Lonchura striata: one gene and its partner. The protein of the gene in region 2 binds, or shares a complex with, the protein of the main gene of each other region. Links are inferred from orthologs where the notes say so. Each region holds a gene or a part of one and is shown on either strand. Other genes may lie near its edges.

Region 1 (14,915 bases), on a different chromosome or scaffold from region 2:
TCTCAGGACACAATGTGTGCTGGCCCTGCAGGCTGGCTTAAGGGTATGAATGAGTGTGAGAGGTAAGAATTCTTCAGCTGAGGATTTCTTTCCTCTCTATTAAAATGATGTGGGATCTGCATCTGCACTCACTCAGACCTGCTTTCTACTCTGAGGGAGCTATGTGGGCACAGATTGAAATGAAAGGTTCGGACTGGACATAACAAGTTATTAGAATCACAGAAGGGGATTGGAATGGGCCCAAACGACCATCCTGTTCCACTCCCCAGCCATGGGCATGGACACCTTCCACTAGACCAGGCTGCTCCTGATCTCCGTGGTGAAATATTTTGAGATCTCTTAATGTAGGCTTGCTTCATTGTCTTTCTTCCTCAGTTGTGCCAGCTCTGAAGCTTCAGTGCCAGCTCCTCTGAGGTGTGAAAGGCAGAGTCAACAAGGCACAAAAAAGGCTCCAAAAGAGCCAAGTTTCTGAAGGACGCACCGACAAGCAGGGCTGGCTCCTCGGTGACGGAGCTGCAGAGGAGCCTCTGAGCAACCTCTGTCCTCACCTTGTCAGGCTGTGTGGAAGTGCCCTGGGATTTGTAATTAGGCACAGTTTGAGACTGGGCTCTACAGTGATTTATACCAAGAATTTTGAGTCCCTTGGAGCCCTCCAGGCCCTGCAAGGGCTCTGAGCTCTCCCTGGAGCCTTCTCCTCTCCAGGTGAGCACCCCCAGCTCTCCCAGCCTGGCTCCAGCCCTCAGAGCATCCCCATGGCCTCCTCTGGGCTCTCTCCAGCAGCTCCATGTTCTGCTGCTGTGTCCCCAGGGGTGGGGCAGCTCTGCAGGTGGGGTCTCACCTCGACATTTCTCTGGTGTTCCCTAAGAACTGCCATCCCTCCCCTGAGCCCTTCAGGAGCATCTTTGCCACAAGCAGTGCTGTGATGGGTGTGTGACCTATCAGTGGTGATTTTGGCTGGTTGGAGTGGTGCTGTCTTCGCAGATGGCAGGGTGACCCCTGGGAGGGGCTCTGGCCAGCTACTGGGCACCTTTCAACAGTGTTGATGAAGGACAAACAACACATCTGAGCTTCCCAAGTGGGAGTGCCAGCTCCTGGGAAGCTCAGAGGAGCGTAAGGCCTGCCGTGTTTGCTCCAAGATGAGCCAAAAAATGACGACTGCCCAGAGAAGTGCAATCAGCACAGAAACACCGGCTCTGACCCGTCTGCCCAGGCCATCAAGGAGCTTCCTTAAGTACTTCCTTACTGCACCCCTGGGGCACAGCCTGTGGTGTGTTTCCCTGCTTTCCTTCCCCTTTGGCACAGCCTTGGGAACGTGCTGCTTTGAGTCAATGAAGGGAACAGGCTGGGGGCAGAGCAGCCCTGCCTGTGGGACACAGACCCCCAGATCCTGCCCAAACAAACCGGGGATCTCAGCCCCAGCCCTTCCCCCCCAGCCTTCCCAGGGAAAGGTGTGTAATATATGATTTAGAATAGATTTGTGCTCAGGACTAAAAAATACAGTATCCTTTTAAATGGAACCACGTGATGGGAAAGAGCAATATACACAGGATGAATTCCTGTCTCAAAAGATGGTTATTCTGAAGGATTATTCTAGAAGATATGCCTTGAATGCTAAGATGAATATTCGTTGCCAGAACAAGATATTCGGGGGGATTACTGTCTAAGAGGATTTCAGCAATGAGAGTATTCTAGGAAAGCCTCTGTTTAGAAGCACCACAAAAAAAGAACATGCATGAATATGTGAAAAAGGACAAAAGGAAACAGGAGAACCACCCCAGAATCCTGTTAACTCTAGAAACAGTATAAAAAAGACCATGTGAAATCAGTACCCCGTGAACTGCCAGGGTATGGTGCTGCATTAGTCCGGACCCAGTTCACCCAGCACCGAATGCCTGGCTCGGCGCTGATTTGCTTCTGGCTTTCCCAATTTTACTTCTATTTGATTTAATAAATTCCTTTAATTATTAAATTGACTGATTCATTTATAACAGGTGCATTCCAGAATGAAATGTTTGTCCTTCCTAGTAAGGTGGCTGGTGCTTGTAGAGCCTGAGTAAGTCAAGATGTTGCCTTTTGCCTCTGCCTGTAGCTCTCCATGAGCTGTGACAGCCCCTCTTGCCAGGCACCTGTTTCACAGCCACCACCTCTGCCCTCCCCTCAGCTTCCTGCTATTAAGCCCCGACTTGCATTGGCCCTAAAGCTCAGAGGGAGGCTCTCCTGCCAGAAAAAAATCAGACTCTGTCCTTCAATGAATTGGTGAGGACTGCACAGGCTCTGCTTGTGTTTACGGCACCCAGAGGAGAAGGTACAACGGGACAGCAAATCATGGACACAACAAAACCCCCAGTGTGCTGTAGAAACGCCCCAGCCCTGGCAGAAGAATAAAAGGTGAGCCATCCGCAGCCCCTTCCATCCCGTTTCCGCCTGGCTGAAAAGCAGGATGTGGACAGTAAATTGGGCAGCAACGATGCACGCCAGTGGCGTGGTGCTGACGAGGGTCCCAGTCCTGTGACACATGGCTCCATGTCCTGCCAGCCAGACAGGAAGAGCCCTGGGCTTTGATCTCCAGGAGAGAACTGGGGGCTTAACCATAAAAACAAGAAAATAACTTGCTGCACACACACTGTTGGTGCAAAATATGAGTCTCTCCTGCCAAGGCAGAGACCTAGAGCTGCTCTCCAGGAGATGATCTCACTCCAAGTGGGATCTTCAGGCTGGGTGCTGTTCAGTTCCTGGTGAGGTTTATGGTGATTTTCTTCCCCCCATTTTTTCTCCTTCATTGAGAAAACAGCCTAACAAAGGGAAGCACCTGTCCTTACTTGCAATAACACAGAAGTCGACCTTGTCAGCCGACGTCTGAGTTACCTGTGGCACCTGTGGTGACAAAGGGCAAATGACTACCGAGGTGTGTTTGTGATAAAAGCAAGAGCTCAGTAACACAGTGACTGCTCCATAAAACCAGGACATACTTTCACACAACTAACCCGGTCGATAAGCTGCAAGGGCTGCAGGCTGGGAACAGTTTGCTCAGGCTTTAATGGTTGACTCATTAGTGGTTCAATTTGTCTATTTTTTACATTGGGAATAAGAAGCTGAGGTAGGAACACTTCCTCTTTCACTGTCCCAGGGTGAAGAACTGCAACTCTCACCAGCACCTCAGCAATACAAGAACTTTATTTACAGGGCACAACCTTGAGGTGCTAGCACAGAATCATACAAAGAGAAGTGGTTGGAAGGGAGTTTAAAGCTCATCCTGTTCCACCCCCTGCCATGGGCAGGGACACCCTCCAGTACATCAGGTTGCTCAAGGCCTTATCCAACCTGACCTGGAACACCTCCAAGGTTGGAGCATCCACAACTGTCCTAATTTTACCCCAGAATCCTGATTTTAGCCCACTTTGAGCAGGCCTGTGATTGCCCAGCAGCACAGGATGTCCTGTACACGTTCCCTGCCCTTGCCCCCTTCCTGTTCCCCACCCTAGTGCCCCATGTCCCACACCCTGTAGTGAAAGGGGCTGCCCTGTCTCTCCTCCCTGTTATGTGTAGTAGATATAATTCACACCATTTCTAGTATGGTATATGTGATATTGAATATTTGTTGGAGTATACACGTTTGTATTAGGAGTCCCCCCTACCCTCACAGGCGAAACCTGGTTTATGTTGAAACCTGATTTACAAGTAAAAGGATGTGGCTCATCAGGAGATGGGCCATATCTGAAGCAATATGGGACGTCCAGGTGACCTGAGACGATATAATGGAAATCCTCCATACAGGTACATGTGAATGCAGGGTTCCCATAATTTTCCTCAAGGGATTCACCAACTCCAGACATCAAATTGTTCTACCTCCTCACCAAGAAAAGAAATCTCATCAAACTATGGGACTCCTAATAGAAGAAAGGACTGATTGCCAAAATCTTGGCCTCAGGCAGAATTTTCCCTATAAAAAAGCATTTGTACCAGATTGGTGCTGTGTGGGTATAGAGGAAAACCTCTGCTGAGGCTGACTTCTTTGTTGCACACCCAGTGCTGACCCCGGGCTCGGCACTGTTCTTTCCTTGTGGCTGGCTAGATAGAATCTGATTGCAAAAGAAATATTTTATTTTTTCATTTTAATTTGGCTGGACAATTTTTCATTTATAACATCCCTGTGCCCCTCCTGCAGCCCCGGCCCTATCAGCCACCTGCAGGCCCGTGACCTCCTCCTCCCTATGCCTTATTCCCTGTCCCCCATCTCTCAGCCTTGTTCCTAGGCACTAGCCCCCATCCCCAACCTCCTAAACCCTGTCTCCAATCCCCCACCGCAGGCCATATTCCCGGCCCCCTCCTTAGGGCCATGTCCCATGTCCATAGGCCCTGCTCCCCTCCCTAACGCCCATCCTCTGTCCTGCTGTTTCCTCCGCCCTGTCCTCCATGTCCCCATTCACCATGTCTGTGCCCCGTCCCCCATCCTCCGCCCCTGCAGTCCTGTTCTCCACCCTGTCGCCGTGCCCTACCCACGTCCGCCATCCACGTCCCCCATCCACTTCTGTCCCCTCCCTGCCCCTGTCCCCAACACTGTCTCCCGGCGGCCAGGCTCCGGTCCCCATCCCGCATGGAGCCCGTCCACATGACTCTGTCCACATGACTCTGCTGTCCCTATCTTCGCCTCCCGTTCCATCCCCGCCTCTCGCTCCTACCCCGCCTCCTTCTTCCGTTCCCGTCCCCGTTGCTTTTCCGTGTCCCCGTATCCGTTGTCCGTCTCCGTGGCCCAGCCCGTGCCCCTGTCCCCGTCCCCGTCCCCTGGCTGGCGCCCCGGCGCGGCCCGGTTCGCTGTTGTGCGCTCGCCCCGCCCGTCGGCCCCGGCGGTGTCCCGGCCGTGTCCCCGCTGTGTCCCCGCCATGTCGCGGCGGGCGGTGCGGGTGCTGCGGCTGGGCGCGGTGCCGTACGCGGAGGCGCTGCGGGTGCAGGAGCGCTGCGTGGCGGCGGCGCGGGCGGCGCGGGGCCCGGCGGCGGGCCGGGGCGGCGCGGAGGCGCTGCCGGCGGAGAGCGTGGTGCTGAGCGAGCCGGCGCAGCCCGTGTATACCTGGGGGCTGCGGGGCGCGCCGGGCGCGGCGGCGGCCGCGGCGCTGCGGGCGCGGGGCGCGGCGCTGGTGGCGGCGCGGCGCGGCGGCCACATCACTTTCCACGGCCCGGGGCAGCTGCTCGCCTTCCCCGTGCTCGACCTGCGCCGCCGCCGCCTCCCGCTCCGTGCCTACGTGGCCGGGCTGGAGGCTCTGGTGCTGCGGCTCTGCCGCCGCCTCGGGCTGGGCGCAGTCCGCGCCCTCCCGCCGCCCTTCACCGGGGTCTGGATGGGCGACAGCAAGCTCTGCGCCATCGGTGAGCGGAGACGGCGCCGGGAGCGCGGGTGTGTCCGTGGAGCCGCACTGAAGAGCCGGCGGTGTTCCACGTGCGGAACGGAAGGCTCCAGGGAGAGCTCAGAGCCCTTTCCAGGGCCCTAAGGGGGCTCCAAGAGAGCTGGAGAGGGGCTGGGGACAAGGGGGAACGGCTTCCCACTGCCAGAGGGCAGGGTTAGATGGGATGTTGGGAAGCAATTCTTCCCTGTAAAGGTGCTAAGGCCCTGGCACAGATTGCCTAGAGCAGCTGTGGCTGCCCCTGGATCCCTGGAAGTGCCCAATGCCAAATTGGACATTAGTGCTTGGAGCATCCTGGGACGGTGGGAGGTGTGCCTGCCCATGGAACATCTTCCAGCCCAACCCATCCTGGCACTGCCTGGGCACCGGGGCAGAGCACTGCAGGAAACTGCCCTGGACCTGTAGGCACCTGAGAGGGTGGGTGTGCACAGGGGTGGGATTGGCCTCCAGGAGGAGGGGGCAGCAAAATTTGGAGCCCCTGCAGCCCACCCAGACCCCGACACTTTGCACGTGTCGCTCCCAGGGCTGGCTGGCTGCCTGCAGGCCAGTCCCCAGCCTTGCCCCCTTCCCTTGCACCCCTCCACATCCTGTACCCCTTCCTGGGACCCTGCAGCCTGGATTTTGGATCCTGCAGGTCTCCCCATATCCGAGCCCATTGGAAACTCCAGCGGTGGGAGGTGCTGGGGGATGCAGGGCTGGGGTGGAGGGTCTGGACATGCTGCGCTCCATCTGCCCCATGTTTGGGGAGCCTGTCTGTGCGTTTTCCCTGGCAGAACCGAGGAGCACAGCGTGGTAGGGGGAGGATGTTTATAGTGATCTGGACAGCGTGGTCACTCAGTCTGTCCCACCAGGGCATCCCTGGTGATGGGGCTGATGGGTGGGTGCTCTTGGCCATGCAGGTGTGCACTGCGGGAACCACATCACCTCGCATGGGCTGGCGCTGAACTGCTGCACCGACCTCTCCTGGTTTGAGCACATCGTCCCCTGCGGGCTGGAGGGCAAGGGCGTCACTTCGCTGAGCCACGAGCTGGGGCAGCATGTCGCCGTCGGCAACGTCATCGAGCCCTTCCTCGACTCCTTCCAGGAGGTGTTTGACTGCACTTTGGTCTCTTCAGAAGACCCCGGGGATTAGAATTGTTGTGATGCCTTGGCCGGGTGTTTTGGCAAAGCCATGGTGCAGCCAGTGGGCATCAGGGCAGTGCCGGGGTCTCTGTTGTGAGATGAGTTCTTGTGCCTTTGCCTGTAGACTGTGATTGGACTTTGGCACAGGGTTTCAGGCTGCTGCTCGATGATCCAAACCTCCCCTGGGGCTGTTCTCTCCAGCCCTGTGAGTCTCCATCTTTTGGCTGAAACTTCCATGGGTACCACTTTCTGGGGAAGTACTCAAACAGGTGCTTTTGTGGGGTTTTTTTCTGCTTTTTGCCTCACAACAATTAAAGATTTGTGTGAATGCTCATGAATTCACATGAATTCTCATGAATTCACATGAATTTGTGTGGCTTGAGCATCCTTCCCTTGCTGACGGGTAAGAAGAGGCAGATTTTATATATAAAGACAGTTGCTGTGAATTTTGGCTGCCAATCCTTTTCTCATTTATTTACCCCAAGACTTTATCAGTGACAGCCTTTTTCTCACCCTGAGCCCAGGGAAATCCTCACATGGCAAAATCCTGGTGCCAGGGAGGGTGGAAAATGGCTGTAAACACTGGTGGAAAGGCCACTGGAGTGCTGCGGATGCAGTGGAAAAGGGGGAGAAGGAGGGAAAAGGGTTGGAAGGAGAGAAGCCACAGCTGTCATGGATCCTGTGGGACCACACAACATTCCAGCTGAGCAGTGGAGACCTGCTCCCACGAGGTCTGTGGTGCTGGAGGAGGTGCTGCTGTCAGCACTTCTGAAATTGCTGTCCCAGCTGCGGCATCATAAGCTGATTTAATGGACGGGTTTATTGAGGGGGGAGAAGTCAGCCTGAGGCTGGAGTACCCACACCCTGCTCAGAGTAAGACCTGACTCCCACCCAGAGCCCCTCACTGCTGTTCTGGGCCTTCTCCCTGCCCCACAAGCTTTGGGGTTTCTCTGCTGCTGCACAGCACTGGCAGCTCCTTGTGAGCCCCCCTTAGTGCCCAGTGGGGCTGAAAAAGGGGGAAATCCCATTTCACAGAGCAGGCTGAGCTCCAGGAGGGAACGGGGAGCAGGAAGAACATGCCCAGGAAGGCTCTGTGCCAAGGGTGAGGGCTCGGGGACTGCGGTGCCGGACGAGGAGGGACAGGAAAGCGTGACCGTCAGCGTGTGCTGGGGAAGTGTGGAGGGAGCCCCGCTCTGCCGCCCCACAAAGTCCCGGTGTCTGGCTGGGGCGAGGGGCCCTGGCAGCACCCATGGGGCTGGGGGTGGGCCGGTGGCCATGACGGGGCTGGCTGGCTGTGGCAGGTGGCTCTGCCCGGGAAGGGGAGGAGGCTGGCAGCGTTCCCAGCCTGGCTGGCATCCCTCCCCACCAGCAGCGATGCTCAGTCCCGGCTCAGCCTGGCAGCAACGCGAGCAGAGAGGACACACGAGGTGAGTACGAACCCCTCTTCCCACACCCTGTCGCCCGCTCCTCTCCCTGTCCTTGCACCCTCCCTAAGGTGGGTCCCCCCAAGGCGTGCCCCATCTGTGGGTCCCCTCCTGGGATAAACCCAGATCTTGCCCCAAACCTCCCAAATTCAGCCTACTTCTCTTAAGTCAGGAATGTAGCAAGATCCGACGTCATCCCTGTGGGCTCGTGGCTGCTCAGCCCCTTCTTCCTCCTCTTCCTCCTCCTTGCAACTGGGGTCTCATCCTGGGAGGTGCCCCCCAAGTTGAGGGTGACCCATTTGGGATCAGCTGCCTCTGCACAAGTAGAGCTGCAGGTGCAGCAGGCAAGGGGTGCTGGGGAGCTGCTGGGGGCAGGCTGGATACCTGGGGGGACTACAGTGGGGACTGGCATGTCCCAAAGGATGGCACACGTGGGAGACTGTGTCCCATGTGCCTGTCCCGGGGCCCCAGGAAGTTGTGAAGGTGCACAAGGGAGCCCAGGGGGCTGGCAGAGGGGCACCATGCCAAAGGTCAGAGTGGGTCTGGTACCCAAAGGGAAGGGAAATCCCCGGGGAGGTTTAGAGCAGCAACCCCTCAAGATGGGTTCACATCGATCTGTGGGGGGCTGTGCCAGCTCTGCACCCTGCAGTGGGGCAGGGTATGTGCCCACCATCCCCACACATCCCTGGGGAAAGCAGACTTTGGACCCAGCCCTCCTGCTCCCTGGGGACAGCTGTGTCCTCACATTGTCCCCAGTGGTGGGGAGGAGAGAGGGCCAGGCAGCTGCCCCAGAGCCCTGGGAGATTTATCTCTTCCATGGAAGGACTGAAATTTAGGGAGAGGGCTGCTGGGAATGCAAAGGGTTTGGCCACCCTGCTTTGTGGCAGAGGAAGTGCTTCAAGGGGCAGTTTGGGGTCAGTGCTGGGAACACCTCTGCTGTGAGGGCAGCCCCGTCTGAGCCCCCTGTCCTTCCCCGCAGCCTGCAGAGGACATGGATGAGAACAACCGCACTTTGGAGTCTTGGCACCAAAGCCTGCAGGCAGTGCTGAACGCCCTGAACCAGACGCTGCATGGGACCATCCCCTGCTCTGGCGAGGCCCTGGCTGGCGCGGCAGGAGCCACACGTGGTGGCCACACCGGCCGCAACGCCAACGCCTACATGTACATCCTGTTCGTCATGACGCTCTTCGCCGCCACCGTGGGCAGCCTCATCCTGGGCTACACCCGCTCCCGCAAGGTGGACAAGCGCAGTGACCCCTACCACGTCTACATCAAGAACAGGGTCTCCATGATCTGAGCCTGGCCCATACCTTGTCCCCAGGGTGGCTTGGGGTCACCTTGCTGTGCACATCTGGCTCGCTGTGGGATGTGGCAGTGCTGCTGGCTCCAGAGCTGCTGGGAACCCCGTAGAGCTGCTGAGAATCCCCCGAAGCTGCTGAGAACCCCCAGAGCTGCTGGAACCCCCACCATGGAGGAGCTCAGTCCTGGTGTGAGCAGTGCCGGGATGTCCTGGAAGAATGTGACCTGTAAGCAGGTCCTGGTCCTGCAGACCCACCTCAGCTCCACCATGGGCGTGGGGCTGGCAGGGGCAGCTCCTTTCCCACTGTGGCCTGCGGGGGCTGGCAGGAGGCGTCAAGGAGAATATTTCCCTATTTCCCTACTCAGATCAGCTGGTGTTGACCTCCCTGGGCTCCTAGCAGCTGTGACAGTGGTTTTAGGGAGTTTTTCTGGTGCTGAAACCCTGTAATGTTTGAGCTGGGCTGTGTCCTGCTTTTCTGGCAGGGAATTAAAGGAGGTGGTGGGTTCAGGGAACTTGTGTTTGCTTCTCCTCCGAGCAAAGCTGGTGTCTGGGGCAATCCATGAGGCACGGCTCTACGCCAGAGTCCAGGGGATGCTGAAAGGGCTAAACCTGCTGACTGTGTGCTGCCAAGGTGGGTTCAAGGGTAGCCCTTGGGTGGCATCACAGCCTCCAGATGGGACAAATCCCCGGGATGGAGCAAGCCCCGCACTCCCAGCTGGCCATGTGTCCGTGCTGCTGTGCGGGCAGCACTGCTGGAGCTGTGGGCACGCTGTGAGCGTGGCCCGAGCCCGGCCAGAGGCGTGTGGCTCCAAGCATCTCCCAAGACCTCTTCAGGCTCCGGATGGTGATGCTGGACTCTTTCCTGCTTCCTTCCTGCTGTCAGCTGTAGCTTTGGCCTTTTGTACCGCAGGTCCCAAATGTGTTTTCCATGGGGTGAGGGTGCAGCAGGGGACGGGAAGGGATGTTCTTGGGTCCTGCTGGCCTCCTTGGCTTTGACTCTGCTGTTAAGCTGGTCGGGTTTGGACCTGGCCTGTGGAGTGGCCAGTGTCCAGGACAGTAAATGACCCTGTCCTTCAAAACAGGCTGTGGGGCAGCGCCAGTGTCTCGCACGTCTTAACCTGTTGGTAATGGCATAATGAATGTCTTTAATTGCAGCTAGATTAGCTGGCCCATAGGGGCCTTTCCGCCTGCATTCCAAGGTTAAACACAGTTGCAATCCTGAGCCCAAACACTGACGCCAAACCCTAATCCAAAAAATAATAGTGGATGTGAGTGTGTTTGGGGTAGGGCTGGAAACCTTGGCACTGGAGGCACCAGCACAGCAGCAGCCTAGCGACCGATTCCTGGTTTGCCGTGCCTTTGGCTTGGGAACAAAGCCTGGAGCAGGGGGGAATGGGAAGCCCATTTTGGGGTTGGTCCCACTGCATTTCCTGAGCCAGTCAAGGCTTTCTGGGGTGCAGGTGTCCTCCGGCACCTGGCCCAAGCGGGAAGTAGCTCCAGAGGCTTTGCTCTGTTTATCTAGCACCTGCAACCTTGGGAAAGGAAAACAAACCTTTATCTGCAAATAAACCAGGGGAATGGGGCCAGGCAGGGACAGAGACATGCTGTGCTGATCCTTTTCCTCCTCCTCCCCTGGGTTTGTCCTCCTCCAACACCAGCCCCTCCTGTGGGATGAGCCGTGCAACAGCCAGGGCCGGGATGTGGGAGGACCCGGCGATGGGATGGGGGCTGGATGATGAGCATGGTCCCCCAAAATCCCCCCTGGGATGTGGAATTCTTGCTTTTCCCACTTTTGGGAGAGAGGGATGAATCCAGTGACTCTGAAATCTCTTCTGATGCTGTGACCCAAGGGGAAAAACCCTGTTGCCCTGTTGAAGGATAGCATGTCATAAAAATTTGGGGGGGGTGGGGGGGGGGAGGGGAGGGAAATGCTGTTTATCCCTAATCTGGAAGATTCTGAGGGTGAAAATCTGTCCTGCAAGACACAGCTTCTGCAGCAATGGTTACCCACCCGACCTGCGACCCACTGGCAGCTCCAATGTCCGCCCAGCCCTGCCGGTAAATTCGGAGCAGAGCCTGCGGCGGAGCAGGGCAGGGCAGGGCAGGGCAGGGCAGGGCAGGGGGGACGCCCCAGGTGCTCCCACCCTGGAATGGCCGGCTGGATGCCACCAGGCTGGGTTACAAGATGCCAGTGCCACCTTGTGGCAGCTGCCTCAGGGTCCTGGTGTCACATGCCCAGGACACCCCTGGGGCAAGAGCAAGGACTTGTATTGGCGGGACCTCTGGCTGTCCTTGTCCCTATGGCTCCCTCAGCTCCAGCCTGGCCGGTGTCCCCATGGGATCCACGGTCTGGGGTAGCCTGACAAACCTCCTCAGCAGTGGATAGTGCTGGGCTGCTCCGAGGGCTATGGAAGCAGGGATACATGAAAGAAGGATGGATTTGGGAGTCCCCTGGAATGGGTTTGCTTCTGGAGCCAGGGGAAGGATTTTGCAACTCTTTAGATGCTCATGCGAGAGCTCAGAGATTCTTCCTTGGAGCCAATGGGTTCTGGCCTCACCTCCCTGGGCTAACGCTCCCTGGGTAACACTCACAGAGCTTTTGTTAGCAGCAAGGAGATGCTCTCAGCATGCAGAGAGAAGAGCTGGGAGTGTGCCGGTCCTGGCTGAATCCCTAAATCCAACTCAGCAAACTGTAGCTGGCTACATTTGGATTTTAAGCAATGCAGCTGGGAAAAAACATAAGGCTCCTGGGAGGCCAGTTTATTGAAGACATTTTTTGCTGGCACACAGCAACGGATCATGGGTGAGACGGCATCTGGTGCTTGGAAAAGGATATGAAAACATGTAGGAAGTTTGGGCTGACCTTGGCTTAGCGGATCAACGGCTAGATTGTTGGGGCAGCGGGAATCACAGGAACCCGTTCCCAGGGCTGCTTTGATGCTGGGCGTTCTGATAATGAAGGCACAAGGTGAAATGAGAGCAGCCCAGGGTGAGAGCAGTGAATGCTGGGCAGGTTGCCTCGGGTTGTGCTGGTTTGGAATGGGTGGCACAGCCTGGCTGAGCAGTGGGAAGCTGTGTTCCCGGGGAGCTGCTCCTCCAGGAGAGCTGGCAGAGCTCCGTGGGAGTGCTGTGTTCAGATGGAGCAGCCAGGGAAGAGCTGCTCTCCCCTCAGCAGTGCTGAGCCAGGCTCACATCACCAGGGCTGCTGTGCAGCATGAGGGACAGAGGGGTCACGATGGGGAAGGTTGATTTTGGGAATCCAGGAATGGTGAAGGGACCTGCTTCTGCCCTTCCTTTTTGGGACCAGAGCAGAGGTTTTTCTAGTGGCTCTGAGCTGCACGTTACAAACTGCTTTTAGAGCATACTTAGAGTGTTATGTTTCTGAGGAAGCTAAGGAGTGTGCTGCCAGTGCCAGAGGGTGTGGGATTAGGCCTTCCCAAAGCTGACATCATGAAGCATCGAGCCAGGGGCAGTTGCAGAATTTCAAAAGCCATTTCCTCATGCCAGTACTCCCTGTTGTGTCCTTCCCACCTGCCAGCCTGGGCTTTGTCTCCATGCTCTGTCTGCAGAGCACCTGCCCTCCTTCAGGACAAAGCCCTTCTGCTGCCACCCCAGATCTGCTTAAAACTGGTCATTCCAACCCCAAAAGGCACCTGTGCCCCTGCCCTGTGGTGGCAGGGATGTCCTCGCTGCCTGTCTGCAGCACTCCACTCTCTTCCCTTCAATGTGCAGTTCTGGGAGGGAAGGGAAAGCGGGGAGGTGCTGTGTCATTATCAGGGAGCCTGAGAGGCCTGGGAGAACAAGCAGGGTGTTCAGGAGATATAAATAATAAAATTATAAACCGAAAATCGTGCCCAGTGCTGAGAGGCTCACCCATCACCAGCTGCAGGAGCACACGGGGGTCATCCTGCATGGCCCCAGCTCTCTGCAGAAACCGGGAGTGGAAAAGCAGCTGGAATGGCATGGGAGCTCTGGGCTGCTTGGCCACGATGTGGAATAAACAGAATAAACGGTGCAAATAACCATGGAAACACTGCTCCCACTGGCCTCTGGTAGCTGGGAGATCATGGGGCTGCTCCCGTTTGTTGTGCACAAGGGTTTGGGCTGTGGAACCAGATCCCTGAGGATGCTAATGGGATGGGACGGATGCTTCTGGTCCTTCTGGTGGGCTGATCCCCCAGCGTGGGCAGCTGGGGAGGGGATTCTGCCCCTCTGTCCTGTGCCCAGGTGAGATCCCACCTGCAAAGCTGCTCCAGCCCTGGGACACAGCAGGAGGAGCTGGAGCTGCTGGAGAGAGCCCAGAAAAGGCACCAGGATGATCAGAGGGATGGAGCTTCTCTGCTGTGTGGAAAGGCTGAGATTGTTTAGCCCAGACTGGAGAAGCTCCAGGGTGACCCAATTGTGGCCTTCCATCACCTGAAAGGAACCTACACAAAAGACAGAGAGACTTTTTACAAGGGTTCAGGACAAGTCTGTCTCAAACTGACAGAGAATTGATCTAGATGAGGGATGAGGAGGAAATTCTTTGCCCAGAGAAGCTGCCCCATCCCTGGCAATACTCAAGAGTAGGCTGCATGGGGCTTGGAGCAGCCTGGGCAAGTGGGAGGTGTCTCTGCCATGGCAGGGCAGGGACTAGAATAGATCCAGTCCCAGATGTGCCCCTGGGTTTCCCCTGACAGGGCTTTCCCTGGCTGCAGGACAATGTCTGCATGGTGCCATGTCCCTGTGTGACGCTCCTGCTCCCTTTAGCCCAGGAGAAGCCATTCCCTCCTGCTGAGCCCTGCCACACTCTCCACTGGCCCTGGCAGCTCCTAGCACATGAACTGGTGGCTGGCAGCAGCCTGGCAACCCTTCTTCTGGTAGCCTGGCTCCCATCCATGGCTGGCAGCCTGGTCTGCCGGTCCCTGGGCTGTCACTGCTGCTCCCTTGGCATGCGGTGCCTCAGCGGGGCGGAACGAGGCGTGAGGGGGAAAACAGAGAAACCTCGGCTTTCCTTCCCCCACAGGCTGATTGCCGATGAACTGGCTTATTTTCCACCACCGTGAGAACTGGAAAATGCTGCTTCTAGCAACAGATGAGAAGAGGTGTTTGTGCTGGCGGGCGTGGGATCCCCTGGAGCGCTGCGCTGGACTCCCGCACGCTCGTGCCAGCAGATGGGACTGGGCTGAACTTTCCTGGAGCAAGATAATCAGCTTTAAAAATTCTTCTGGAGCCTGATTAACCCTCAAATGTACAGGATTTAGTTGTCATCTCGCATCTCCATCAGTGGATCTAAGCTGTATCACTGTAATCTTTTTCCGTGATTGCCCTGCTCTGGAGCTGCTTGGAGCATCTGCCACGGGCTGCCTCGAAGCTAGAGATCCCATCCTTCTCACAGGGACACATTTGGGAACTAATCACCACTTCCCAATGTCGGGAGCACTGGTGAGATCCTGGGAAGTATCAAACCCTCTGTGCTGCAGTTATTCCTGGCAAGGAAATCACTTCTATCCCGCATGAGACTATTTTGTTCAGGGGAGTAATCATGGAGGAGCACTGACATCGGAGAGAATAATTTTCCACCTTCCATCCAGTTTTGGAGGAAACCCAAGGTCTTGTGGGCTGGAGCTCCTGTTATCCTGGGCTCTGGTCTTCTCCCTTGAAGACAAAACATGAGGAGGAGATAAGATCAGCAAA
Region 2 (15,197 bases):
ATCCTAGTAGTACTTGCTGGCCACTCTGACCCATCATCACACCTGTACATTGATCTCCCTTCCTGACAGCCTTCCAGCCCTAATGCTAAGAGGGAAATAATGTTTGAGTATGAAAATTCATAATTAATTACTATCTTACAGATGCTTGAGATCAAAAATCTTGTAAGCTGCTGAATGCACCTGCAAATTCATGACACTGTTTATTCAGCTCTTTCCACTGTCTTACTCACCCTTCCTGTGTATGTGCAAAGAATTATCACTAACATTCCTTTATCTTATAGGGTGGAACTTTCATTGGAATGTTCATTGCATTAAACTGTGTCTTCTAACATAAAATTTGAGGTTTTGCATCCTCAGCAGATTCCCATCTCTCCTCCTCTGATTATTAAAACCAGCTACTGATGTGGTGATGGGTGTATTTAGGTGGGGGAGGGCGGTGTGCAATGGTTGGATCTAAGTTAAAAAACCAGGGTTATCAGTGACACTGAAGTGTTTTATTATGTAGCTGATAAGCCAGGTAATGTCCCTTTCCAGGTCTGTTCATGTAGTGAAGTTTCACCAAGAGCAAATGCAAGAAAGAATCTCTGTATGATAGTTAAAGCATTTATTCAAGTTTGTGTTTCCATTCAAAACATGTCTTGATTAAGAATTCCAGTGTTCTCAATTCTATTTGCACACCAGAATTTTGTGCAGTGTTCCAAAGCATCCCTGCCTTTATAGTGACTGTTCCTGCTTGTCTTCTTCCCCAGCAAATCTGAGTGCTTAACCTGCAACCACATTTATCATCGCAGCTACGAAGGAGGGCAGTGCCATTATCCCGTTTACAAAGTGACAACCTGGGGCACAAGTAAGAACAATGTCACAACAGAGGTCACACAGGAAGTCTGTGGGAGAACTGGGTGCTGAATTCTGGTCATTCAAGTCCGAGGTTAGAGACTGAAACTTTCCTCTTTGGTGGGGGACTGAAAATACTTTCATAAATTCAATGTATTTACAGGAATTTGATTCTCTCTTTGCCAGCTTCCTTCTATTCATTATTCAATTATAGATAATGTGTCAAGTTAGTCCAATTATTCTTTCTTTTTTTGTAATGTGAAAAATATTTTTATTTAATTTGACATTTATTTAGTAGGAGGAATTATAAACGTTAGGAAAATCTTTGCCTATTACGAGAAATAGCTATCAAAGAAAATGAATCAAAACATCTGTGGCCTTTTAAGCCAGACCAGATAAACTTGACACTTTAGCCACTAGAGGGACCTCCAGGAATAGAATATATAAAAACAGACTCCACAAAAATATTTGAAGCATTAGGTGTCTTTAAAGAAAAACAAAAAAACTCTGCAGACTGAAGCGTTTGCTTATAATGAGTTCTGAAATAATAGCAAACATTAATTAACTAATGATATTTTAAATTTGGTCAAGAAAAAACAACTTTTCTGCTGGTAAGATATGACTGGTGGGTTGTTTCCTCTTCACTGGCTTAGTGAGGTTAGCACATCTGCTTTGAAAAGGACTGTAATTTACCAGTAAGATTATGAATTATTCTTTTGGGCAGAACAAAGCAAATGCAGCTATTCTCTTTCCAGAACTTCTGAGAAGAATGTGATTTGGACGTGGTGCAGAGTCTGAAATTAGTAACCTCATTTTCCCACTGAGTGGTACTTCAGCAGAGCCCTCAAGTGATGTCAAACTTTAACAGCAGTTTAACAGCCCAATTAACAAATGTTAATGCCTTGCCATGCATGCAAATGGTCTCTAAAAAGTAGTTGTGCTGCAGCCTGGGTCACTGGATTTGTAATTAACCATAAATCAGGGAGATGATGAGGGTGCTCTTAATGTTCCCTTTTTCACTTCTGCAAAAATACAGAGGGAGCTGTGGTTGTTCTTCACGCACAAAGTTTTGGGGCTCCGCAAGCTCTGCAAGCTTCAGCTTTAACATTTGCAGTGTAAAACACAAAATCCTGCTTAGCACCTGGGCTTTTGGGACACTGGAGATGAGGACACCGAGATAAGAATTGCTATTAACCCAATTAGAAAAAGGTCAGGCATGTCTCTAGAATTTGGCATTAAATCGCAATTATGGGATAGGTTAAAAGAATTTTTGCCAGACTTTAAATTATGTTGCATTGTTTAGCTTTGCCTATTAGAATGGTCCTAGTGAAATGAAAACTCTTATTTTGTGAGATGAAAGCAACCTGAAATTCCAGTTTGGCAGAGCTGATTGTTGCACAGGTCTCCTGTGGTCTATCCACTGAGTTTTATAGTTTCCAATTTGTTTGCCTTGAGAGGTTACTCATGTAAGAAAAGGTGTAGTGGGAGGGGAGGAGACATTGCTAGTACTTGTTCTATTACTCTGCTGTGGAGTTGGGGTTTTTTTAAGCATTAGAAAGCTTTTTGACGGATTATTGTTTGAAAAACCTTTGATTCTCCCACAGAGTTAGCCTTAAATGCCTTGTGTTGCACATAACCTCCCACTGAAGTTTTCCAGTGAACCACCTGCAATTAAAGACATTCAGCTGCAGGTTTAACTGTCAGACAGATGATGCTTGACATCAAAAGTGGGTTGCCAAGTGGCTCCTGCTGAAGCAGAATGATTATCTGTCCCATGCCATTCCTTACACGTGAGGTAGGTTATTATATATTACGGATTAACGTGGTCACAGGCAGGAAGTGTTCCTGGACCAGGAAGAGATTTGGTGATAGCTAGTGATTTCTTTCTCAGCTGCTGAGAGTGAAACCCTTCCTGAAACACCAGGACATCCTTTCATTAAGAGAAGTCCTCTCCATAAGCAACCATTGGACAAAAATTTGGGGAGTGTTTCAGAATTTCAGTTAATTTATTTGGAGCTTGCTCAGTGGTGCTGATTTTAGTCTAACAAAGAGAAGGTTTGTGACTAACATGAGGAGGAGAATTTGCTTTTGATGCAAGAAAGTGATGTAACAATCTCTTCATTTGGAGAATGCTGTTAGTCACTCTGCCCTCAGACGTGCAGGTCTGTGTAAGAATGTGCACTCAAAAACCTGTGTGGCATTGTGTGAGCAAGCAAACATCTGCTGAGTCTCATGTGCTCCTGAAATTGAAATACACCTCCTCTGCCACAATAATAAAAATGAACCTCACAAGATGTCGTCAGCCTCTTTAGCTTTCTCTTTTGGAGTAATACCTAAAAGAATCCTTTTCAGTTACAAAAATTGCTGGAAAATTAACTACATTAAAGAACTCAGGAGAAAGGACTCTACAGGCAACTGCTGAAACAGACTAGAGAGGTTACCCATGCATGGATCTACAAGTGTGTCTGGAGCAAGATCTCCTAATGGTGTCCCCTCTTAGTTGTTTAAGGCTTTCACAAGGTCTAGATTTTTATTTTTCCTACTGCCACTTCGTTGAAGATTGCAAGTAGGTTGGTGACAGGAAGAAAATATTGAGAAGGATGTTTGCAAGTTGTGATGCACTAACACAGTTCAGTTACAATTCTAGCACCACTTCCTTATTTTCTTCTTAATGCCCATGAGACTTTCAAGGGCTCTGCCCTGAAGTCCTCTTCCTAAACAAGTAAAAACTTAGTGAATTCTTCAGACTCACACGTGGAAGATTTTGGTCAGCCAGAGAGCAAATAGAAAAAGCTAACATTGTAGAAAAAAATTTGATCTTTATTGACAGAAACCAAAATTCCAGTTGGCTGGTTCTAGCCTTTCATATAAATGAATGTTCCTTAACAAGAGAAATTAAGAGTCTATCAAGGTTTTTGCATCTCTCTTCTCACAGCTCTCAAGTGGATGGACAACAGGATGGGGATTGGGGGAGCAAAATCCCTCCCACTGTAACAAAGATCAGGTTCATGACTACCTGAGTAACCTGAGTGTACAGAAGTCCATGGGACCCATGAGATGCATCCCAGGGTCCTGAGGGAATTGGCTGACACAGTTGCCAAGCCCCTTTCTGTGATACCCAAATAGTCCTGGCTGTCAGGTGAAGTGTCATGTAGCTGGAAAAAGGGAAATATTGCACCCATCTTTAAAAAGAGTAGAAAGGAGGACACTGGGAGGACCTGTTTTCCTCACCTTTGTGCTTGGGAAGATCCTGGAACAGATCCTCATAAAAGCTCTGCTAAGGCACATGGGGAACAGGGAGGTGATTTGAGGTAGCCAGCACAGCTTCCCCCAGGGCTAATCCTGCCTGACCAACCTAATGGACTTCTCTGGTGGAATGCCTACATCAGTGGACAAGGCAAGGGATACAGGGATATCATTTGACATGAAGGAATGTCATTTAGCTGGATTTCTGTACAGTCTTTGGCATGGTCCTCCCAACATCCTTCTCTCTAAATTGGAGACTGATTGAATGGCTAAACTGTGAGGTGAATAAGGAATTGTCTGGATAGCTGTATCCAGAGGGTAGAGATCAAAGGCTCAGAGTTCCCATTTTGTTTGAAAACAAAACAGAAAGTGTTTGTGAGGCATAAGCCTAAATAAATATTGAGTCTTTCTTTGCTTTAGGACTTCAAACCTGAGCATAGGTAGACAGTAATATTCTTTCCCAGAACAGCACCAATATGATTTAAAATCCTACGAAACAATGTAAACACATCATAAAACCATAGCCATAACCATGCACTCAGATAGCATTCAAACAGATAATGCTAATCAGGGATGGCAGCAGGGCTGCATGGCCTCCATATGTCAGATATCTGGTGCATGCCACTCACTATCTCCTGCAGGGCTGCTCCTCTCTGCTGCCCAGATTCCTGAGCAGACTGCATCCACTGTTAAAAATAACCCAACAGTAAAGAAGGGAGGGAATTAAAGGACACTTTCAACTTTCTGAGTAGAATACTATCTGCTTTTTTCTGTCTGCTCCATCTGTCTTGAAAGTGACTGACAGGAAAGCAGTCTGCATAAACACCTGTTGGAAGTGTGTCTTTTTGTCAGTGATTAGTCTACTAAGGAAGTGATTAATTAATGTGGTCTCTGACTTATGAAATGTTGATAGTCAGTGTTTTGGGACATACTGCAGTTTTGAATACACTCTCTGTATCTGGAGTTTCTGCTGGTGTGCTAAGTTGTTTGACTAGCAATGCCTGCCAACAGGGAAAACCTGCTGGATTTACACATGGGAAGCATGGATGTATTCAAGAGCCTTTAGCAAAGATTTTGCTTAAATTTAAAGCCTGAAGTTAATTTGCATAAAGGCATACAAGTTGTATATTAATAGATTTAGATTAATTAAAAATAAAGGTATATGAGATTATCAAGGTGTCCAATGGAAAATGTCTACACGTACTTGGAAAATTGTTCTTAATTGAAATTTGATGAATGAATGAAAATATACATATATCTTTCCATCTCCCTAGTGAATTGGCTAAGCTGTAGTCTTCCCATGATTTAGAAAGTGAAGCAAACCCTTGTATCTCTTTCCCCTGCTTTTGTTTTGAATCTTAAGGCTGAGGTTTATTTATCTATCATGTTATTGTTGTGTTTTCAAACTGTTCTTTTTGTTTGAGGTATAAGTACTTAGTTATTTTATAGCTTTTAATGGGAATTTTTTAAAGTAATGACAAGTCTGTGAGCAGAATTTTTTAATTAATAGAGAGTATTTCAAAAGTTTTTGTCCTACCTCACTATATGAAAACATATAAACAATCTAGGACTTTATTCTTAGTTCAAATGACATTTACCTTCACCATTGACTGTGTTTTTATAATGATCTACTCACTCAATCCAAATGTGGATTCTCCAGGAAATGGAACACAACCAAATATTTACTCCACTCCAAGAAAAAGAGTTCAAAAATTGAGACAACACAACTCTCTCTTTTCTCTCCTTGAAAACTGTTATTTAACGTCTCCTACTGTAGCTGGGCAGAAATGGAAGTAGCATTAAAAAAATCCCCCAAACGTAATTCAAACAAAAACCATCCCACAAAGTAATCTAACAGCAAACAAGAAGATTCCCATGCTAGAGGAGAAGTGGTGAAACCTGTAATTGTAACGTAAGTGTTAAAGGCTTTCAGAAGACAAAGAATATTCAGACTGTTTGTTTGAGTCTTAACTTCCAAAGGGAAGAAATCAGGCAAAAGATCAAGGTGTCTCTAACTGGCTGCAGCAATTCCTGCCTGCAAACATTTGTCAGTGATTTAGCAGTGTGATCTTGCATGGTATTCTGGCGAGCACAGAGTCAAAATACAGCATGCCATGAGCATATCTGTCACTGCAGGCATAATACTGATCCATAACTTGGTACAGGATAACAGAGGCCCAGGATGCTACAGACATTTTTGATCAAAGAAGTCTTTAACTAATACTAGTCTTGATCTAATTAAATTGCTAGGATTGGGAGCTTTGCCATCACCTTCACTGTATTATCATCGTACTAGAGTGACTTATCTCAAGTTTATAATCATGGTCCTCTTAAAGACGTAAGGATTTAAAACAGTTCTTGCTAACTGTGAATTAAAATGTACTGGGTGTTACTCATTTCGCTGCAGTTCTGTAAATACTCAAAGTAGATTATTATTATTCTAAGAAACAATTCAGTATAGTAGTTCCACCTTAATATTTAAAACCCATGTCCTCTTTATTCAATGTATCTTCCTACCTTCTTCACTATCGAAGCCTAGATACCAAGCTCCATAAATATATTTGAACACTCATCTCCCTCCTCTTCCCATTTTTAACTCTTTCATATATACACCACACTCTCTTTTTTTTCTCTTCTTCCACTTACATAATTACATTGTTTTGTAAAATAAACATGATTAAAATCAAGATGTGGCAACTTAAGAAGGGGAAAAAAAGGGAATTTCCATTACCATGTTAAAATATGCATCTTGAAAATATATCAAAATAATATACAATTTTGGTAAATTAATATGCATTAAAGGTAATTATACCCTGGATTCTCATCCCTAAGTAGTCATTTATTTGAAACTTTTATTTAAGTATGCTCTTGCTTTCACCTGTGCCAGACATGTTTTACCATTCAGTATCTTGAACAAGCTGGCAATCATCTAACAATATGATTTTTGCTACATAAAATAAATGTTATCATTATCAGTAACACACTTAAAATGTAGATTTTGATTAACTCCTTGACTTTGGGAAAAGGCCTTTAGATATTACTTAAATACTAATTTCATATACTTTAAAATTGCTTTATTTGTGATGATTCTTTGAAAGATTTAGCCAACATTGGATTTCCAACCTAAAACCTTATGAAACTATTTCTGTCCTGAAAAACAACTCAATATATAAGGCTGTGGAATACATTTGAGACCTTTTTGTTTTGCAATAAAAAGTTTATTGAAAAAACCTTTGGTTCTTTGGAACAGTTTCTCACCGACCACTGAAGATCAAATTTATATCTTCCCAATTTTCTTCCTTGTTTAGCCATTTAAGTATATAATACCCCCTAACTTTTCTTTTGCAAGGAAATTGCATAGGTATTACAGAAATTCCATTTTCCTAGGTTCAAACAGAGTGAAGTTTCTATTCTGTTTTGTTAATCAATGGATAAATAATATTATGCCACATTATTTTTTAAAGATTTTGAAAAGTTTTATGAAGAATAACATCATTTACATATGAACATAGAGCCTCCTGTTTGGCTAACTCTCTGTTATATTTTGCAGTTGGCTCCAGAATAAGGCTCTGTATAACAATGTTATGTTAGTCTATAAAACAAAGTGGAACACTTACATAAAGAAACACATTTGTTAGCTTTAATATCAAGACTTTATCAGGCTGACCCTCCAACAGTGAGCGTTCAAGGGTAGTGATGACATTCTTTCTTCCATTAGCCATTTTTCTTGCAGGCTTGTTTCAAAAAAGAACAGTTCCTCAAAATAGAAAAACCAGACTCTATTTTGACCTGATGCAGGAAATTTTTCCTTTGAAATGCTGTTTTTATTAAGCTGTTTTTTTCTTCATGCTCTGGTGGAGGGGGGAAAAGCCTGCTTAGGATGTTGTTGGTTTAGAAACAAGTTTTGCAAAGTCTCATTTTAACACTTCAGGTTTTGTATTCCTAAGATGGAGCCAGATCCCTCATGGGTGTAAATAAATATAAGAGCTCACTGGTTTTTCTTGTTTACACTGGTGGATCTTGCCTGGTTCCCCTACAATTCTTGCAGCCTGACATTTGAATGGAACTGCAATTAGCAGGGTTGTTTTCGTTTAACTTTATTTAGCACCTTATCTCCCTGTAACATTCTTGTCCGGGTACCAGTATCAACCATGAACTCAACATAGCTCTTACTAGTGCTGTTCTATTTTGAGCTGGAAGAAAAAACCCACCAGTCCAGATCAAGGAGCACCTTTCCCTTCACTCTGGGAATAGAAATTTTTAACCGATTGGTGCAAAAAGCCACGACAAATTTATCCACAGTTATGGCAGTCCTAACTAACTCCATCACACGGGAAAGTTATCCAGGCCGTCAAAACTATCTGTTCTCAATAGCCAAACCTATGCAAATTTCCACAAAAGCCAAAATGCTACTGGTAGAGGAGGCAGTTCTGCAGGACTGTGTTTGCTGTGTTCTACCGTTTCCACAGTTCTTCAGCTAATCACTCCCTTTGGTTACAATATCATGAAGGACTGCACGACCCATTGTTTGAGCTCATAGTTTTTGTCACGCATTTTAAAAAGAGCCTCCTGGAAGATTCCTGCTCTGGCAGAGCCCTGCTGTTCCCAGGTGCTGAAATTCTGCAAAAAGAAGTGGAGCGTCCAGAAGGCTTTGGAGGTACTAAATCTGAAGTAAAGGGTTGTACCCCAAGATCTCAAGCCACACAATGCCACAGTTCTGGGAAGCAGCGGAATGGCCAAGGCGGCAGGAAAGTCTGCTGGGCTTCTGGGTTGCTGGAAGGCTGCTCCCTGCTCTCTGCCCTGGCAGCTGCTCACACAGGTGAGAGGCCAGCTCCACGCAGCCACAGCGGTGACAAGGCACAGGTGCTACAGCATTGAGGACAGCGACACGGAGATGCTCGCCGGTGCCGGGCACGGGGAGCGGGTGCCGCGGGCAGCGCCTCCCGCCGGGCCGCACCGGGACTGCTGCCGGGCCCGCCCCCGCTTGCCCGCACCTTTCCCGGCCGGAGCCGCCCCGCGGGGGCCGGGCCAGCGGTGTCGCGGCGGGACGGGGCGCCCGGCGCTGCCCGCAGCTCCCGGGGCACCGCCGCGCCGCCCCAGCCATGTCCTCCAGCTCCCCGCCGGGCGAGCCCAAGAGCCGCAGCCTGGGCCGGCTGTCGCTGCCCAGGAGAGGCAGCATGACGCCGGGCAAGAAGGCGGCGGCGCTGGAGCTGGCCGAGAGCGCCCCGAACGCCCACTACGCCCCGCTGGCGGCCGCGCAGGGCGGGCAGGCGCCCGCGGGATGCGGCCCCGCGGCGGAGCGGGAGCGGGCGCCGCGCCTGCGGAGCGAGGTGGTGGTGGTGAGCGCCGACTGCCCGCGGCCCCCCGTCAGCCTGGACCCCCGCGTCTCCATCTACAGCCTCCGCAAGCCCCTGCTGAGCCGCAGCAGCGTCCAGGGCAGGGTCTACAACTTCTTGGAGCGGCCCACGGGATGGAAGTGCTTCGTGTACCACTTCACCGTGTGAGTACCGCGCCGGGCACCTGCTCCGCGCTCCCGTTACCGCCGCTGGAGCGCTGCCCCGGCCGTGCCTCAGCCGCACCCTGCCGAGCCCCCTCCCCATGCCCCGCACGCCGCTCCTCGGGAACGGAGCCTTCCAGACCAGCCCGGTGCTCCGGGCTTGAACATCGTGCGGATGTGGTCCTCTGGGCTATGGGTGGCTTGCTTTTTTTTTTTTTTTTTTTCCCTGCAGGTGTGAAGTAAAACAGAAATCACCCTCCAGGGGAAAGTTTGCCTTTTTAGTTAAGAGAAATGCTGTATCTCAGTTCATGAGCCGTTAGGTGTATCTATCAGATAGTGGAGGAGAGGGTTTCAGGCAATTTTCTTCAGAAGGCTACCCAGGGAGTTGGAATAAATTGTTCACACCTGGTTTCAATCAGTGACACCTGTGTGATGCCGATGCTCACTGCATAGCAGCAGTTTCTAATTGAACAGGTGCAACTGAACAGGTGCTCTCAATTATCAGCGCTGCAGTCTTGTCAGAGGAGGATGAGAAACAGGTGATGCTCCTTTTGCTTGCCTCTTTTGTTACCCCGGCTCTACCTCCTTGTGCCGTCCATTACGGTAGGAAGGAGGTGGTGTTTGGAGGGTGCTGTTGAGCCGCAGGTAGGTTGAAAGTTGCTTTCTCTGTTGTACTGTCTGTAGAGTGCAGTGTCAAACCCCAGCCTGCAAGTGGTAGGTCTGTGGTGCAGAAGCATCCCAACAGGTGTCTCTGGGAGGAATCAGCTTTTCCATCGAGGTGTTGCAGAAGGCTCGTGTGACCCTTGGGCAGTTGGTGTGTGTTAAATGTAGGTGAGAAGGTCAGGTAGGAACATGGTGTGTGTTTATTGTATTCATGCACAAATATATGTGTGTGTGTTTATATCCACTACATGTGTACATGCTTATTCCAGCAGTTAGAGTTAAATATATTTTGTGGTCAAAATCCTAAGACAAAAAATACCAGAGTCAGTTTTTATGACTTTGCTATTATATTCTGATTTTAAGTCCTATTTCTAAGTGACTGTTTTCTAAAGTCAGTTTAGGACTTTGTTCTTCTGTTCCACGCTTGAGGATTCTGGAGTGTTTAGGTCAACAGGTTAAGTGGTACCAACTTTATTGTAGTGGAGGGGAAACGGCTGTCATCTGAGTGTATATAATTGGGAGATGACGGGGTACAACTGCTGAGATAATTGTGGGCTCCATTCTCTTTAGCCTTATGATAATGCCATAAGATGAGAAAATGAGTAATGACCATAATTATGAAGTGCCTAATAGTTGTCATTGAACAATGTAAAATACTTGGGAATTGGAGCCTCCCTCCCCCCCTCCCCCCTTTTTTGTTCCCTTAAAAAGCAGGTTTAGGTAGCTATATTTTATGGTTTCTGACCTTTCAGGTGTCTCAAATTTTGTTTAGATGGTGCAGCAAACTGTTTTCAGTATCTTCTCTGAATCTTAACAGCAAGTCTAGGAAAACTCTGAAAAGCAAAAACCAAGCTTATAGTCCTTTGACTACTTAAGCTTCTAGCCTGAATTATAATTTATTTTTTTTTTTTGCAAGTATTTGCAGTGTGGATTAATCCTGTTTGCGCAAGAATTAAGATTCTGTAATATGTGTAAGTCATTATGTATCTTCCCCCCAACACACACCCAGGTGTAAGCATTAGCCCCAACTTTTCCCTTCTTTCCAGAGCTCTTCTGATGCAATGATGAATGACAGTGGCAGTAAATATTCTCAAGCCTCTTACCAAGCATTGCTTGAATTCCTTAGGGTGTTGAAGAGACAGAAGAGGGTATTGACACCCTTGTACGTTTCTCACAAGGCAACTTGCAAGTACCATTTAGGCAGCCTAACTCCGATTCCTACCAGCAGAGGGAATTGAGGCTTTACTGTTTTCAGCCCAGCTTTTTTTTTTTTTTTTTTTTTTTTTTGTTAAGCTTTTTGTGCCCATTAAATCATGGTTTAAGTTACTGGTTTTTGGTCCATACTTCTCCAGCTCTTTCTGAGCTCCCAAAGCAACTTTCTACTGTGCCAAGGAATGCTCTGGAGTACAATCCCTGCCAGCCAGGTGCAGAGTATTGGTAGATGAACAGTTGCCACACAGCTGAAGTGTGTCACTAAAATTAACCGACGAGGCAGATTTGTCTGATTCAGAGAAGCTGCTGTGCACCAGCATCTGCTCGGGAGGAGGCACGGGACCTGCTTTGGGTAGACAGGTGGGTACAAGGGATGAGGTGCAGAGCTGTAAAGCACGTGGAGTCATGAGAGACACACAGAGGCGAGCATGTGCTCCTTCCCACTGGAGGAAGTACTTGATTGTTCTGTTGTCAGCATACAAACAATCATTCATAGAATGCTAAGCCTGGTTTTACCTTGGGGTGTGCAAAGACCCTGGTGTTAGTCTTTCCTGCCCAAACTAGTTTAAGAAACTGAATTAATTTTGCCTGTTGTCTTTTTACTCCCTCTGTGGTCCTGCCTCTACTTTATTCTGGGGGCTTTCAGCTGCCTGGGAGGTCTTGGTCACTGTCCTAAATGTTTAGAGGAGAAAGAGAGGAAACGGGAGTGGTGTTAAATCAGGACATAAAGACCTAAGCTTAGTAGAGAGCCTTGGCCAAGATCTAACCTAGTGATGGGAGCAATAACCACTGAAGGCTTAATTTTTTGTTGTCTGCGTGGTGTGGAGTGTGTAGCTGTGTTCTTAATTATAAGCTGTAATTATTACAGTCAGAAACAACTCCTGGAATAGACCATGTAACTTGCTCTGGACCTGTATCTCTGGCTGGTTGTTAAAACACTATTTATCAAGTGATAAGAGCTACATCTACTGATTGCCTGTCACACCCTTTTCCTGCTCAGGAATTTTAGTCAGTGGTATGTAGAATACTAGTAACAAAGAACTGATACTCAGGATTGATTTTCCTTGATTTTATATTACATTGTTTAGAAAAGGGAAGTTGAACACCAAGCTTTAATCCACAGATTCTAGGTTGTTATGTTTGTTTCATATTGTTTTCATTGCTGCATGTCTGGTGAGCAGCAAAGGGCCCTTATGTGCCCTTGACTTAAAGGATGGAAAATCTGGCTGTCTTGCATAGGTCAGGCCATGACCTGTTTTCTTCTGAATTATTTCTTTCATAATGTGTCAGAAATATCTGTTTTTCACTATGCAAAATGTATCTTCTCTCTAGATTGATATTTTCAATCTCTGGGGTAATTTGACATGCCAGTCTGTGATTAAATCAATTTAATTTGAGACAGGTCTTTTCTAAGAATTTTTCTTATTTGCTTAGACCAAAGTGAGCAGAATAGGGAATGAATTATTATGCCTCATTTATACTCGATTTTTGAAGGCTGGGGACATAGTCTCTGTGGGAGGAAGGAATGGCTAATCAGCCATTAATTCACCATTCAGACCTGCCTGAAGGTACTAGTGGAGATGACAGAACCTCTTAGTTGAGCTACTTGACTTGGTTTGATTTTGTAATAAGTTTCATGTAAATAGATGACATATACAGTATACAAACACCTGATTTTACCAGGGCAAGTAAATTGTGCTTGTTGGCTGAGGATCTACTTGCATGGCTTCTGCAAACACAGTTGGTGATTGCTTGGAGACTTGGGCTTTGCAAGCAAGAGCTTTCCTTTTGGGGTGGCTGTATTGGTGGCAATGTCCTGCCAGGGCCACCAAATCTGCCTTGGCTGTCAGAGCGAGGGAATGACTGAGTGCCACGTTCTCAGTGACCTTCCAGGCTAGGGCATCTTATCACACTTATCATAGCAGTGCACCTTGAGAGAGCAGCTTTGAGAGGTGAAATGTTCTGCAACCTGAATGAATCAAATTTTCAGCCTCTATGACCAGAGGTGGAAAGAGAAACTCTGCCCTCATAGTGGCCTGCTGAAACTCTTGGGTACTGCCCCATAGTTGGAAATGACTGTACTGAACAAGTGAAGCTGTTAGATGCTAAAAAGAATTATTTTAGATTTAGGTGCTCAGGGAAGAGGTTCTTCTCACCCTCTTAATTTTAAAATAAACGTCTTAAAATATGCCTAGAGAAACTGAAGTTACGAACTGATTTCTCTTGTTCTTGGTGTGGCAAATAATGACTTCTGGCAGCGTTGACTCCCTGTGTTCTTTGAAGTGTTGGCTGTAACCAGAAGGAACAATTTAGAAACTGATGGACCGTTGGTTTGTTCTATTGTGGCAGCTCTCCTTTGTTGCCATGCAAGGTAATCAGCTTCTATCTTATCTTTGCATGCCTGTACCTGGTTCAATTTACATTGCCTTTGTATAAGTTTGGTTTAATCAGCAATGATTGTCATTGAGTTTGTTGAATCTCAGGTTGTTTACATAAGCTTGGACTGGCCAGTGGTTGGGGTTTGGAAAACTGGTCTCTGGAAACAGGCAGACTCTTAGCAGCCTGGCTGCATGTGTGTGCACACAGAGCTAGGAAGTGAGGGTAGATAGAATATTCCAGTTATCTGAATCAGGACTCGCAGTAATCAATTATTAAAGGCAATGCAGTGTTTACACTGTGCTCTTTACATACATTACATCTTGAAGAAAAAAGCCTAACTCTAATTTAAAATCCCATTCTTGCCCTGTTTCTAGATGTACTGCAAACATACTTCCAAACCTACTGGTTTATACTTGTTGTGTAAAATGTTGAGGAGGAAAAAGGGTCCATAAACAATTAGTGTGTGCACATGCTCACACATGACTTTTTTTATCCCAACTTAAGAATGGTGCAAACTGAAATGCTGTGGACATGAACATTTGTATGTTTAGAGATTTTTATGGCTTGAAATCAGACTTACAGATTATTACTTCTGTTAAAAAAATAAAAAAAAGGGGTGTAAGTCCTCCAAAGTAAGCATGGCTTTTCCAAGTGGAAAGAAAGAAATGTGGCTTGATCAGAGTCATATCCCTTTTGCTGCTGCCAATAGCAGGAAAACCCAGGTTTAGCTTTTTTTGTCTCATCAAGACTGAGGTAGTTTAGTTGAGGCCAGTTTGCAGCAGAGCAGACACCTTTGCAACCAAACACTATGTATCTGTTACCATGCTTGGTAAAGTTTTATCTGAGAGGAAAATGTATTGGAAAGCTGATTTTAAGTATTCCAAGAGAGGAGGGAAGACCATTTGTTTGCCCCACATAAGAAAGTGTGCTCACATTTAGGAGTTGCTGCTGCAGAGGCACCCCTGTTTGCTGATCAGCCTGATGTTGAAGCTTGGGCTCTTGGCAGATTTTTGGAGGCAGGTGAGACTGAGAAGTGGCTTAAAGGTTTTGTTGTTCCCTCCTTAATCTCTGCATGCTGCAGTGCAGCCCCTTAGCTGCAATATTGCAAGAACTTTGGGACTCTGTAATTGAAATAGTATTTTTTGGGTTGGCCAGTACAGAGCTTCCTCCCCTTGCCCTGTTTCCCAATTTGTAACCTGTCAGAAGTTTAATTTTTGCTGTGGGCTGTCTGGCTGTCTTGTGGCTGAGACCAGTCCAAGTTTGTGCCGTGGAAAGCTGAAGTGTCAGTCTAGTTACAGATCAGAAGGGGTCCCCATTTCTCTCTCCCAGTGGGACAGCAGAAGTTGTTAGGTTAAGAAATACAGGT

What was found.
Region 1: the proteins of KCNQ1 (region 2) and KCNE3 are in contact, whole or in part, in a cryo-EM structure (PDB 6V01), measured with the Homo sapiens proteins. The link is inferred for Lonchura striata from reciprocal best matches to the Homo sapiens genes KCNQ1 and KCNE3. Residues at the interface, in NP_000209.2 of Homo sapiens: Arg116, Pro117, Thr118, Gly119, Trp120, Cys122, Phe123, His126, Phe127, Phe130, Leu134, Leu137, Ile138, Val141, Leu142, Ile145, Gln147, Tyr148, Arg181, Met238, Val241, Asp242, Gln244, Thr247, Lys362, Asn365, Ile368; in NP_005463.1 of Homo sapiens: Asp54, Asp55, Asn56, Ser57, Tyr58, Ile61, Met65, Phe68, Ala69, Val72, Gly73, Leu75, Ile76, Leu77, Tyr79, Thr80, Arg81, Ser82, Arg83, Val85, Lys87, Asp90.

What each region holds. Positions count from the first base shown.
Region 1 is NC_134604.1:19,174,976-19,189,890, reverse strand, and holds KCNE3 (potassium voltage-gated channel subfamily E member 3), read left to right. Parts: upstream 1-7,762; 5' UTR 7,763-7,942; intron 7,943-8,918; 5' UTR 8,919-8,930; coding exon 8,931-9,236; 3' UTR 9,237-9,751; downstream 9,752-14,915. Other genes in the region: LIPT2 (octanoyl-[acyl-carrier-protein]:protein N-octanoyltransferase LIPT2, mitochondrial), read left to right, coding at 4,881-5,358, 6,293-6,525. UniProt on the Homo sapiens protein: Ancillary protein that functions as a regulatory subunit of the voltage-gated potassium (Kv) channel complex composed of pore-forming and potassium-conducting alpha subunits and of regulatory beta subunits.
Region 2 is NC_134608.1:47,136,016-47,151,212, forward strand, and holds the start of KCNQ1 (potassium voltage-gated channel subfamily KQT member 1), read left to right. Parts: upstream 1-9,182; coding exon 9,183-9,580; intron 9,581-15,197. UniProt on the Homo sapiens protein: Pore-forming subunit of the voltage-gated potassium (Kv) channel involved in the regulation of cardiomyocyte excitability and important in normal development and functions of myocardium, inner ear, stomach and colon.